Oryza sativa Japonica Group: one gene and its partner. The protein of the gene in region 2 binds, or shares a complex with, the protein of the main gene of each other region. Links are inferred from orthologs where the notes say so. Each region holds a gene or a part of one and is shown on either strand. Other genes may lie near its edges. The genes, in order: WD-40 repeat-containing protein MSI4 and PWWP domain-containing protein 1.

Evidence for each region.
Region 1: PWWP domain-containing protein 1 (region 2) and WD-40 repeat-containing protein MSI4 share a complex: the UniProt entries of both Arabidopsis thaliana proteins name them as parts of the PRC2 (polycomb repressive complex 2) complex. The link is inferred for Oryza sativa Japonica Group from reciprocal best matches to the Arabidopsis thaliana genes AT5G27650 and FVE.

What each region holds. Positions count from the first base shown.
Region 1 is NC_089035.1:30,090,221-30,097,402, reverse strand, and holds the end of WD-40 repeat-containing protein MSI4, read right to left. Parts: intron 6,990-7,182; coding exon 6,926-6,989; intron 6,747-6,925; coding exon 6,660-6,746; intron 6,284-6,659; coding exon 6,221-6,283; intron 5,975-6,220; coding exon 5,909-5,974; intron 5,806-5,908; coding exon 5,704-5,805; intron 5,510-5,703; coding exon 5,434-5,509; intron 4,889-5,433; coding exon 4,687-4,888; intron 4,425-4,686; coding exon 4,343-4,424; intron 4,240-4,342; coding exon 4,166-4,239; intron 4,018-4,165; coding exon 3,906-4,017; intron 3,801-3,905; coding exon 3,726-3,800; intron 3,574-3,725; coding exon 3,512-3,573; intron 2,834-3,511; coding exon 2,734-2,833; intron 2,597-2,733; coding exon 2,495-2,596; 3' UTR 2,182-2,494; downstream 1-2,181. Other genes in the region: pathogen-associated molecular patterns-induced protein A70, read right to left, coding at 1-792. UniProt on the Arabidopsis thaliana protein: Core histone-binding subunit that may target chromatin assembly factors, chromatin remodeling factors and histone deacetylases to their histone substrates in a manner that is regulated by nucleosomal DNA.
Region 2 is NC_089039.1:2,825,734-2,832,178, forward strand, and holds part of PWWP domain-containing protein 1, read left to right. Parts: coding exon 1-137; intron 138-1,045; coding exon of another isoform or gene 1,046-1,185; exon of another isoform or gene 1,186-1,221; intron 1,222-1,303; exon of another isoform or gene 1,304-1,899; intron 1,900-2,175; exon of another isoform or gene 2,176-2,263; intron 2,264-2,398; exon of another isoform or gene 2,399-2,527; intron 2,528-3,786; coding exon 3,787-3,870; intron 3,871-4,337; coding exon 4,338-6,445. UniProt on the Arabidopsis thaliana protein: Together with PDP2, PDP3 and PDP6, interacts with MSI4/FVE and MSI5 to suppress FLC, MAF4 and MAF5 expression by regulating the function of the PRC2 complex and modulating H3K27me3 level, thereby promoting flowering.

The DNA of each region.
Region 1 (7,182 bases), on a different chromosome or scaffold from region 2:
GTTGAGCATCTCGTTGTAGTTGAGCAGCGAGTTGAGCCGCTGCAGCTGCAGCTGCTCCCGGAACTTGTTGATGAAGTCGTCCGCCCTCGCGTCCACGCTGCTCGCGGTGGCGAGCCCAACCTGCGCGGTCTCCACCTCCTCCCTCGCCGCCGACTTCACGGCGCGTGCCGGTGCCGGGGCCGGCGCCCTCGGCGGCGGCGGCTGCGCGCGTTGCACTTGCAGTACCTGCCGCTGTGCCTGCGCCGGGGCGCGCTCCAGCTTCCTCACCTCCGAGCTCGACGACTTCTTGACCGCCACCTTCGCTCTGGCGGCGCCGGCGGCGGCAGCGTTCTCCGCCTTGCCTCTCTTCTCCACCGGCGGCGGCGCGGGCCGAGCAGCAGGCTCCGACCGGCTCCGGGTGTACTGCGCCTGCTGCTTCTCGCTCTCGTCGCAGATGGCGTTGGCGCCGGCGGCGGAGAGGTTGTACTCGGGAGGGAAGTCGCCGGAGCGGAAGCGGTAGAGGCCGAAGGAGCGCAGCCGCTCCATGACCGACGACGTGCGCTCGAGCGGCGCGGGTGGCGGTGGAGCGTACTGATCATGGCAGCGCTGCGGCTCATCATGGTGGTCATGGTGGTGCTGTGCCTTGTAGTGCTCGTCGTGGTGGTGTTGGCGGCGGCGGTGGGACGCGCGGGAGGTGAGCGCGATGGTGCCGATGACCACGTTGAGCAGGAGGAAGAGCGTCGCCGGGGAGAAGTAGCCGCGGACCAGCGACCACCCCGGCGGCCAAGCTGTCGCGTCTGCCGCGACGTCCATTTCGTCGAGATCGCCGCGCACGTTCTGCCTACCACACGTGCACGGGAAGAGCTTGGTGCGTTGAGGCGGATGTGACTGCGTGGTGTAGCTGGGCGTTGGCCTGCTCGGCGTGGTGCACTGGTGCGTGGTAAATATACAGGGAGGCTGAGGGCACGCGGCGCGCGGAGGCGGGTGGTGGATGGGAGGGAGGAATGCTTGCGGAGTTGCGGGGGATGGGAGAAACGGCGTGCGTATGAGAGGGCCTCCTCGTGCGCTCGCGACCGACCACCCCGTCACCCACCGTGACAGGTTGGAGATCCCCAAGCCCATGAGCCCTCAATTCATTGCGACGCAGGGAGGGGCGTCACCGTGCGTGCGTGCGTCGGTTGCACCGGCCACGGTGCTCCATCTCCAGGGAAATAATGCCGTGTACAGCGTACTAGTATTTTAGTAATACTCCGTTATCCAATACTTTACTGTTGTATTTTAGTGGTTGATCGTCTCAAGTCTGCCAAAACAGAAACTTCTCCTGTGGCAAACCCAAACCGTGTCAAGTTGTGTCATGAACAAATCACAAGATTACTACTCTAGACTATAGAACAAGCATTTCGGGGAGTTGGAGTACTGAGATTTCTCTTGCCGACTACTGCGATGAGCTGATGAACAATGCGTCAAGCACATTTCGCTTCATCATTTTGACGCAACCGCGGCAATGAGTTGGCGTTGAAACGTACGCTCGAGCAGGAGAAGCAGGTGAGCCACCACCAAGTCTGCACAGTCGGATGAACATCCGTTCCGAGGCAATGAACAAACCACGTGGATTGACCGTCCAGCTAGTGATATCAGCCCACCTGGTGCGAGACTCTGCGCGCCTTGCTTCACGTCACGTGCCGGTGTGCCGCGAGACCTGCTCTGATCCATCCAGTGGCCAGATCGGAACCTAAGCAGGTCAACCTGACTCAACCAACCGCGCACTTATTAACGTCAGTAGAGCTGCCGAGACGAAGTCCCGCAGCATATGAGCTCCCAGCATAATATTCATAGGCACATGTCGGGCACAGGACTCCCATCAATTTAAATGCATCCATCCGAGACATGAGGTGATGAGGCAATTATCGGCCGTGATTGACAATTGAGTAACCAGGATAATAGTCCAAATTAAAGCTCCCACGTGACGTTGTAACATGACTTTCAAGCACACTTATATTTTGGATTTGTGACCATACCAATGAACTCAGATGCACAACGCACGACCTCAAGAACAACGCGGCATTGGACCAAATGTTCAAATCCGACAAGATTTAGAGGCGGGAAAACTGCTTCCACTGGGGTATCCAGTGCAACGATATACCACAAGCAAGGAATAGCCCAAGCAGACGTATTCAAGGCTACATTACTATTGGACAGATCTATCTGAAGAACCATCTGATTAAGTCACCAAGTCAGGCTAACAATACAACTAGGTCCAATACGAGACTCCAGAACAATGTTTAGCATCCAAATAATCTGCCCACAGAGATTCTGCTCTGCTGTGTTTGCACTAGCTTACCGATTTGAGTCGATACAGTAAGGTAAAAGAGTCGCACAAGCACTTGAAGGGTACAAGCCTGGGTTCCGCACCAGAGGATATAACCAATATTTGAAAGGAACATTCTAAATGGACAAGAAATTAGAAACCTACTAGAGTTATTACAGGACTGGGTTACACAGATAGTCACACGATTCAGCTCCTTGGAGCACAGCTGGCCAAGTGAGTCTTGAAGTTCTCCAGCTCTGCAAGAACTTCATCTTCTGGACGGTATATCAGGTCACTCATGCGCCATATCTACACAAATAAAATATGCATAAGAACAACTGACGTATAATATCAGATAAAAGACAACATGGTAGCAGTCACTATTCCAATGAAATATGAGTACAGTCCCATTTTGTGTCTGGCACTATAAAAATAAAGAAACACACCTGCAATGTTCCACCTCCACCAGTACTCTCACCATCATCAGACACACTCACAATAGTCCAAGGATCCGAAGAATTCCAGTGGAAGTCTACAATCTTATCCCTGCCAATAAAAATATCACAAAATACGTTATTTATGGAATACATACAATGAAAATCAACAGCAATCACTTTGATAACAGTTGTATCATTCCTTAAGATCTAATACATCTTCCCCTCAATTTATTATAGTGCCCAGTTCATGTGGAAACTAAAAAGAGCTAACATTGTATGCATATGCTGTAGCATAAATCTATTGAAAAACTGAAATATGATCTACTTACAAATGTACTGATTATCCATTTGTTCTGAACCATAACAGTTATTCCAAAGGTGGAGAAAGCACAGGCTGACTTTATAATGGCCTTACCAACTAAGATACAGAGTACACCATAATCAAGATTTATCCCTCTAAGTCTTAGGCTTCTTAAGTTCAAATTTGCAATTGCACAAGTGTCTCTCAGCATAAGTCAAACACCAGTTCAAAGAGGATTCAAGTCCCATCTTCAATTTTGCAAAACTAATTAATGAAAATATCTTAGGAAAAATATCTCATTGCAGAAACAGAAAAGCAATGCACAGTGATGCAACCTAAAGTTGTCGTAAAAACGAATGTCTCGTAAATGTGACAGGAATAAAAAGCCAACTGATGTGGTATTAAGCATTTGAAGGAATATGGTATTGAGTTACGCATATTACAACACATAAGGAAAATTTTACATTTCATCATACGATAGCATACCTATGACCAGCATGTTGAAAGAAAAGCCCAGCAGGTGCGTTGGGATTTTTCTTATTTCCAACCTGCATCAAAAGAATTTTATGAATCTAAAGCTATTAAAAAGTACATGAAATGAAGGGGACAAATGGAGCATGAACTCCCATCCCAATTCCAAACTTTCTGCAGGGCCATGACAGAGATGACTGAAATGGTAACGAATTGTATAGAAAGATACCTTCTCATGATCCCACACATTTAAGAAGCCGTCTTCCGCAGAGCTTCCAAATACAGATGCCTTGTCAGGTGACCACTGAAACACACAAGGTTTGAATTATAGCATAAAGGCACAAAAAAAATAAACGACAGTAACCAAATGTGCATAAAAAATATAGTAACAATAAATATCTGTACATGCCTGAACACAAAGAACAGCAGCTTTATGACCCTCAAATTTGTGAACTGGAATGCCAGCTCCTCCAGAACCCAGATTTCTCCGGTCCCACATACGGACAGAATTATCCGCAGAACTGAATACGAAAAGAAACCATCTTACTCAAATGTGTAAATAGCTAAACCCACTATCAAGAAGTGTATCCACGGCTTCTTGTACCAAATGAACACTAAAGAACATGTTACATATTATTTAGAATTTAGAAACATTTCATGCCATCATACCCAGTTAAGATATAGTTAACATCATGGAGGTTCCAGTCAACACAATGAACATCACCACCATGAGCTTTCTCAACCTGGAAATGAAGAATAAACCAGTTTCAACATGGTGCATAGAATTGAGCTGCTCATTTTCACGTAAAGCATCATTAATCTGCTTAAAATGGAGAAGAGCACCACCTTAACAGCTGGGCCTGTACCACTCCGGGCATCCCAAAGAATAAGACAAGAATCATCGCCTACACTACAAAACTCCTGTGCACTTCAAAAAATAAAAAAAAATAAACTGTGAAGATAAATTGATAGAAGTATAGATCATACAATATCAAAATATAGCATGCATTCCAAGTTCCCAGCAGATGTTCACAATAATGATAGCTGCTATTGTTTTATCATCATAAAGAACGACTATTAGCCAAGACAAAAACTTTAGGCCATGCAAACCACTGAAGCTCATAGTCCAAACAACATATACACATGCTAGAGAGACAACATTTAATAACATGAAGGGGAAGGTGCAATACCTAGAAGGGCAGAACTGGACATCTTCAACAGTACTGTCGTGGCCAAGAAAGATACCACGAGGATCAACTTTAGGACTATCCTTATCATTTGCAGTTTTTCCCTTGCTTCCTGATGCCCCTGGAGAAGATTCAGTTTTCGAGGAATCTCCCAGTGCAGATATGTGGTCTTGGATGCTCCACCATACAACAGATTTGTCTTTTCCTATTACAATTCGTATTGAAGTCCAAGTTATCACAGCAGCACATTGAGTCGAGAGAAAAAACGTGTCCCCTGAACTTGGCAACAAAACTTCCAAGTCTATAAACTTTAGCAAGTGATTCAAGTTAGGCCCAAACCCAAGCTAGCTAGCAGCTGGTTTACATAGTAATCAATATGCCTAATTTAGTGATTGGCCTCTATTCTTTTTGTTATTCTGCACGTTAAAATGGTGCTGTCACCTCCATCTGCAAGCTAGTTTAGGCATGGACCTATCTTGACTCACATGTACAAGATCCAACAGAACAAAACAAAGCCAGTTCTCAACTTCAAGGACCCTTGCACACATCAAAATCGAACACTGAAGAGGTGAAGACCATGAAAAGTCAACAATATCAACCGGAAAATAATTTAGGGGTAATTGTTAAGGATAACACACATGCGCACACAAAAAAGTCTTGACACCAGAACAATATGTGAATAAATACAAAAGGTGTGAGGGGTATAAACTAGAAAGATTTAAACATACAAGAAGACAAAATATTGCTAACCTCCAGATAACACATATGGCTCAGCTGGGCACATAGCAAGCGCAAACTCAGCAATATCCTTATGTCCTCTTAATATCTGTCAAAACAGTTTAAGCTACTAAGCCACAAGTGTGAAAAGGGAACTCGAACTATGAAAGATGAAAACCTTTCAATATATTCTATGATTCCATAACACAGTTTCTTAGGACTTGTGTGCAGATACACCAGATGAAGCTGCAATTTCAGCTTCTCAAAATGATATAGGTTGAGAATGAAAATAAGAAAAGATACCAAATCAGGGCGAGAGTCAGGTGGTACCAAATCAGGACGAGACTCCATCTGTGCCAGTTGAGCTTGTCTATTTGGCTGGGCCTCGACATCCCAAATGAGAACCTGCAAATGAACAAAAAAGCCTTCAGTCTACAAATCCATCACAGAAATGCTTAGGGATTGATGATCACAAGAAACGGGCAGCACTACAAAGTTCTAGGCATACATCTGGGCTGTCGGTATGAGTGGCAATGATCTTACTGTTCTGCGGAAGCTCCCTAATCCTGTTCACCTGTGTCCATGGTAAAACAGAAACAATACATCAACGATTGGGTTAAATAAATGTTGACGGGGACACGGGGTTAAACAAATAAAAGACACATCTCAAGCACTATCTCCAAAAGAAAAGCAAGCCATCTAAACCACTAAAGTTTATAGCCAATATATGCACCACACAACATGGAAGATCTCATACAGAGGCAATGATCCTCAAGTTAAGGAAAGAGAAATCAACAATCACGATTGAATGAGCTTGTACCTCGCCTGGATGAATTATAGTCTTGTACTTCTTTACAAAAGGTGATCGTGCTTCCTCATTGAACTGCAACAAAAAATAAGAGACATCCGGTCAGTTTCATTGTAAACAGACTTCAAGTTAGTGCAAGGAATTCCTAATTCAGGTCTTTTTAAGGCCAATGTAAGGCAGTCTCATACACCGCTATCACAAGACTGAAGTCATGCAAATCTAGATGTTCGAGTTATGACATTTTTATTAATTTAATAAGACAGATTAGGCATAGTAAACTATCAGTTGGTACTACAGGTCCACATCTCTGATTAATGATTACATTAAGATGGGAAGCTGACACCTCGGGTCAATTAAATCTGCAAAAAGGACCAGCTATGTCCATTCATCTCAAACGTAGCATGATTCTGCATTTTACAAACTCAAATGGGTCACTGAAAAAAGTGGAAACCTGAGATATATGTTCAGCAGCTGCAACCCTTGGTTTGACAACTTCACAATTTGCAATAACCAGAGTATTAGGGACAGTCCCATCCGTCTGCAACAATCACATGGTTAGCAAATGCTAAAGTTTAATATCCAACTAAGAATACATAAATTTTCTAGCTAAGAAGACCCATCTGCATATCTGAATTCAAACTTCACCATAAATTTGAGCTTCAAAACATCCCTACAGCAAAAGAAAGAAAAAGAACAACTTATTTTGGGAGCACTTGCCTGCTCTGAAAGGTAAAGACGCTGACGATTCTTGTAGGTAGCCTTCTCAAACTGGGGTCCCCACCTGTTAACAATTAATGATGAGAAGATCAAATCGTTAGTTGCAGAACCACTATTGAAGGTCAAAAGCACGACAGAATCCAACATGCACAGCTTTAAACCGAATTACAAGATGATATGTCACAACTCAACACAGAACAGGCACGGATAAAGCATGACAATCTAACTCTAAAACATAACAGGTAATCATATTATCG
Region 2 (6,445 bases):
CCAGATGAGCTCCATGCTTGAGGCCTACCGCCTATCCAGATACGCGCTGAAGGATCCCACCTACGCCCAAGCTTTCGGGATGGACTACGACGAGGCGCAAGCGGCGAAAACAGCGTTGGAGAAGAAAGCTCGAGAAGGTATACTCACTCGCATGCCCAATCCTATTAATCCTTTTAGCTGCGCTGTATGCTACTATGCTATTGTTTCTGCTGCTATGTACTCAAACATGCTCGTTAAGCTAACCGTAATACCATTGCTGAGATATAGATTGAAGTTTGATTCCTTTGTTCTGAATAGAAGTGTAGATCTGGTTCAATTAGTTTTCTGTTTCATATTTTTGTTGATCTGTCTGTTGCATGATTGTTGTTTCATTGGGGTTGATGTGGTTTGTCACACGATTATTATAGAATTGATTCAAAATGAAGTAAAATTTGACAGATGCATTGCAGCAACCAATCTTGAGTTGTCGTAGATTCATGGGTATTGCCATGATCTCCAATTTGATATCTTATTTTTTCCAAACAATTACTAAGGGTACAATGAGAACTTATTTCCCCACTACCTTGTAGGAATATTTTTTTATAAAAAAGATTAGGGCCTGTTATTATTCGATTGTGATTTTGTTTTGTCATGCTTTTATTCATATATCTCAATTAGAGATTTACGTGCTACTTAGTACTTGCTGCAGTTTATAGGCCAGGCCTCAGTTCCTAACTTGCTATATGTTTGGAAATCGTGAGGTCCTCTCTTTTCCTAACATTTATGCATCATTTTTCTGTTCATTGCCCATGCACTTCAGATTGTATGCTTGCTGTTTGTTTTTTTTTTCATCCCTATAGTTTGGCATTTAGACATGTGCAAGCAGTGCACAACACAACATTTGTTGGTTAAGCGTAACTAAAGTCATGCATCATAAAGGACTACTATAAATATTGGTTAATGTACCTGATAAAACAGAGTTATGAGAAGTGAATGTGATTGGGTTTCTCATCTGCATAACATGTTTTGTTCTGGATGCACTATTCCTTGTTCATTGATGAAGCAGGCTCTGAGGTAAGGTGGTTGAGTTCACCTTTACATTGTGAAGGAAGGCACCAAGTTAAGATACGTATGACTACAACATTTGTTAGCCGTGCTTGTTGGTTATTATATTTATTAAACATGTATAAAATGTATGAACATTAACTACGTATAAGTTTCTTTGCTGTTATTTTAGATGCATCTAGCTGAACCATTCGGAAGCGGTAAATATGATTAGGATTTCTGTTCTTTATGAAAAAGGGTAATTCTCAAGATTTGCGCATAACATAACAATCACAAGAAAGGAAATCATATAATTATGTATCGTCAACCTAAAAAATATATAAACGAAGCATTCTTTGCAGACTCCAAGTTTATAAGTCTGAGAGATCCATGCCTGGAGTAAAGCAAGGTGCATCTAGCTTGCACTAGGATCAGAGGTTCCAACACCATCAAATAGTGAGGGTACTGAAAGGGGGATCAATCTTTTGCCTCTCCTGTCCATGTTCTTGACCACCACTAGTGTGTTTAAGTTGCTCCTTCGGTTAGAAGCCCCCCTCCATTCTTCCCGTGATCACAAATCCTTCATATTGGAATTGTCTCTTCATATTACCTTCTGCTGCTGCTGTCCTGTTCCAGTGATTTACTTCCCTTCTCGTCCTTTTCTTAACTCGACTAGTTCCTTTCTTAAGATGATGCCTTCAGCTATTGCTGCTGCTGCTGCTGCTGCTGCTGCTGTCCAATTCCTGGAATTAACTTCTCTTCTCGTTCTTTTGTTAACAAAACTTGTTCCTAGAATCAATGCTAGTTCCTTTCTGAAAATGATGCCTCCAGCAACTTTGCTTTGCCTTCAGAGTTCGTAGCGGTTATCATAGGTTCCTTTTGCACAGAACAGAATGATTAGGGAAACACTAGAGCCTTCAGTTCAGTTTAGTTTAGTTTATTACTCTTTCCATCCGAAAATATAAGATGTTAGGACTGGATGGGAGACATCCTATTACTATGAATTTGAACATGATGTTTAGATTCACAGTGCTATGATGTGCTCCATCTGATCCTAGTACCTTATATTTTGGGACGGGGGAGTACTACACTAGAGCCTTTTAGTTTAGTTTATTTTTGAAAAGCTAATCACAGTGCACAAAAAAACTGAACCTCTCCGGTTGCCACCAAGAAATAGCTCCCCGCGGTTTTGCTTGTTCTAGGCGATGCTTCTTCCTGCCCGGACAAATTCTCCTCTTTCCTAGGAAAAAGCAAAGATTCCATGAATTGAATATATAGACACCCCTTAGGTTGAAATTCATCCGAAATTCGAAACGAATCCACATAAGATTATTTCAGTAAATGGACATGAATAACATTAAATTACAAATTCCACCTGAATTCTCCATCACTCTCTTTTGGCGAGATGGTGATACCGAGTCACATGGAAGCTTGGAAAGACGTGGAGAGCCAATGGGGGTTGGAGAGGCATCACAGAATATGCTCCTCCTCCGTTAGATATTTGGTGGCCGATGAGCGAGACAGACGCCAGCATTTGTGCCGTCCAGGAGCAAAGCACTGGTGAATTTTGTCCTGCCGTGTCAGTCGGACTGTCACCCTGTCTTGGCTTAAATAAAAAAGCTCTTGAAGCATTAAACCCCCAAAATGGATCAACCAATCCTTGCCTCTCTACTCTTTAGCCTTTCCAATTTTCTGCGTTAGATAATGATCAATTGACAAAGAAGAAAGTTAAAGGAGCTCATTGGCTCTCTCTGGAGCTATTTTTCAACTAGACATAATAATTCATGGAAGGGAATGAAGGGATTTCCCTTCAAGAAGAAGATCTCACTTTGCATGGCAAATGAGACCAAAGGCGAATCTCTTCCTGCCACAAACAAATCCCAAGACCAAGAATATAGGTGACGGTCACGTAGTAGTAGCAGCATTGGTAGTGGTCGTACGTCATTACTTGCAATTTGCATGTGCGTCCACGTATGTAGGCACATTTTCTTTTTTTTAAAAAAAAAATTCTGATACATTGTGTTCGCTCGAGAGAGAAAGAGAAGCCACTACATACTCAATTCGTTTCAAAATAAGTTAACCTAGCACATTATGTGACTATCCTATTTAAATTTTAAAATAAATTAACCTAATACAGTATGTGACATATTCTATTTAAATTTATAGTATTAGGATATGTCACATTCTGTATTATTGTTTTGGGATAGAGGGAGTATAATATTTTTCTTTTCGCCATAGAAAAAAAATCACTGTTTCTTTGGTTGGATATTAACCTGGCCCAAAGAGAGAATCCCAGGAGAAGCAGAGTCGCCAGCACTCACCTTTTGCATCCACCGACACGGATGGACGGCTAGGATGGATCTACCGACGGTCTGGATTGCGCGCTGGAAGAGTCACCCATCTATCCTCGCCAGTCGCTGATTCTTTTTTTAATTTTTGGCATTGCTACACTTTCTTTCTTTCTTTCTTTCTTTTTGCAAGGTCTTTTTTGTGTGTCATACACATTGATTTGTCAAGGAGATGAGTAACAAATAAATATAAATAAAAAGAAAAAAAATCAGGATGCATTTCCCTTTACTACTCTCCAGCTCGTGCTTTCTCATCATTCTTCTTTTTTCCCCCAAGAGTGAATTGCACTTGCACGTGTTCTGTTACACAGTATCAGTGAAAGGCTTAATTTTTTTTTCTTTTTGTTGAGACATGTGGCAGTCAAAGCCTTCATAAACGAACGAAATGTCATGATGTTTTTTTAAATCTCTCTAGGCAAGAGACGTGTTTGGTGGGACCGGAAAACACAGGAGGAACCCCAGGATGATCAGGGCGAGTCTTCAAATACAACTCCTGCAGGTATTGTACTGTACAGTATATATACGACTGTACATATTCTTCTCATTTTTATTATACTTGTATTATTTTGTATTTTACATTTTTCTTCCTTCCAAAAATCCAATTTCTTTCAAAACAAAAAAAAACCCCGACTATTTTAACTCAATCACAATATCATTAGTTAAATTAGTTTATTGTTGTTTTATATATTTCAAATACAACTTCTGCAGGATTGTAATGTACAGTATATACGAGTACATATATTCTTTTCATTTTTATTATACTAGTATAGTACTTTGCATTTTCTTCCAAAAATCCTATTTCTTTCAAATCCAAAAACACTCGTCTATTTTAATGTTGATATAATTTCCACTAGCTCAATCACAATATTTAAATTAGTTTATTGTTGTTTTATATTTCATATATATAAAAATGGAAAACCATTTGCGTTGACTTGGTCTTGATGTGTGGCTACGATGCGTTTGCAGGTCGTCCGGCGAAGGGCCGCAAGAAGGCGGCGGAGAATCCCGGCGGCCGCCGCCGGAAGGGCAGCGCGGCCAGCACGGCGGCGAGGCTCATGGAGAAGATCATGCCCAGCGCGGCGGCGATGAAGCCCAGGGCCAAGAAGAAGGACCAGTACCTGCTCAAGCGCCGCGACGACGCGCGCGCCCCGCCGCCGCCGTCCATGCCGGACGCCTTCCCGGCGGCGCCCATGGCCCCCGCTCTCGACGACGTCCCGCCGGGGTTCCCTTCCGATCCCCCGACGCCGCCGCTCCCCAGCAGCACCCTCGCCGCCGACGAGGAGTTCTTGCTGCAGAGGCGCACTCCACCGCCGCTGCTGTCCGCGCCACCCACCCCGCTCGCGCTTCCTCCCGCCGCCGCCGGGCAGGTCGGCGACGGCGGCGCGCCCACGGACGCCGCCACCGCCGCCGCGGCGCCGAAGAAGGCGACCAAGCCGAAGAAGGCAGCCGCCCGCAAGCGCGAGCGCGAGGAACCCGCTGACGCCGCCGCCGCTGCCGCCGCAGGCGGCGTTGCCGGCGAGCCTAAGAAGAAGAAAAAGAAGAAGCTCGCCGAGCTCAACGGCGTGGCGGTCGCCGCCGCCGGCAAGCCGGGGTTATTGCCTGCTAAGGTAGACCATGATCTGAAGCAGGTAATATCCGAGCTTCAAAGCCTTCCTCTCGTTGCCTCCTATGTCGCCGGCCGCCGCAGCATCTCTGACGAAGCTCGCTCCTTCCTCCTCGCCTTCCGCTCCAAGTCTTTCAAGAAGAGCCATGAGAACGATCCACCCGAGGACAACAAGGCCTCTAAGCCCAATGCCGCCACCGCCGCCGACGGCCAGAAGCCGCCGGCGAAGAAGAAGCCGGCCGCGAGGCCCGGCGACACCACCGCCGCCTCCGCCAAGGTTGCCGGCGTCAAGCGCGCCCCGTCTGATCGCCAGGAGGAGCTTGCCACCAAGAAGAAAGCCAAGCTCAACAAGATCAAGACGCTCGCCACTGACAAGAAGGCCGCCGGTCTGGAGCTCGCCGCCGCGGCGCCTGCGGCGGCGAGGAAGAATGATGCGATCGCTGCCAGGAAGAAGGAGAAGGAGCCGGCTCTGGCTCCGGCGATCAAGACGCCATCGCCGACGGCGCTGATGATGAAGTTCCCGCCGAAGACCACGCTGCCATCGGTGGCCTCCCTCAAGGCGAGGTTCGCGCGGTTCGGGCCGCTCGACGTCGACGGCATCCGCGTCTACTGGAAGTCCCACATGTGCCGCGTCATCTACAGGTTCAAGTCCGACGCCGACGTCGCGCTCAAGTACGCGCGCGCCAACACCACCATGTTCGGCCAGGTCGCGCCCAACTACTACCTCCGCGGCGTCGAGTCGGACGGCGACCTCGCCGCCGACGCTGCACCTCCGCCTCCGCAGCAGCGCTCCGAGCTTCGCCTCATGGAGACGGCCCCGTTCAGGCCCGGGACCTCCGGCGGCAACTGCGCGCCGCTGCCGCTGTCCAGGGCCGTGCCGGCGCGCGCGGTGGTTGGGCAGCAGCCCAAGTCGATCCTCAAGAAGACGGTCACCGACGACGGCGCGCCGTCGGCGGCGGCGCTCCGTGATGCCCCGCGGGTGAAGTTCATGCTCGACGCCGGGGACAGCAAGCTCGAGCCGCCGCCACCTGCAGCGCCGGCGAGCGGCGGCGGAGACGCCGCCGCGCCGCTCGCCAAGAGCGCCACCAAGTCGGTCGGGTTCGCGCCACCGCCTCTCCAGCCGCCGGCGCGCCCGGCACAGCACCCCCACCTGCAGCCGCCGGCGCGTCCAGCGCAGCAGCCTCCTCGCCCGCCGGTGACCCAGCCACTCCCTCCGCCGCCGCCTCTCCATCAGCACCAGCCATACCAACCTCGCCACACCGACGCGCTGCCGCTGCCGCTGCCGCTGCCGCCGCCACCGCCGCCGCCATTCTCCGTGCAGCAGCAGCAGCTCCCTCCACCGCCACCATACCACCTCCGCCACAGCATCGACGGAATGCACCACCAGCTCCCCGGACCACCGCTGCCGCCGTCGTACCAGCATCGCGCCGCCGGCGGCGTCGTCTTCCCCGGACAGCATCAGCAGCAGCCA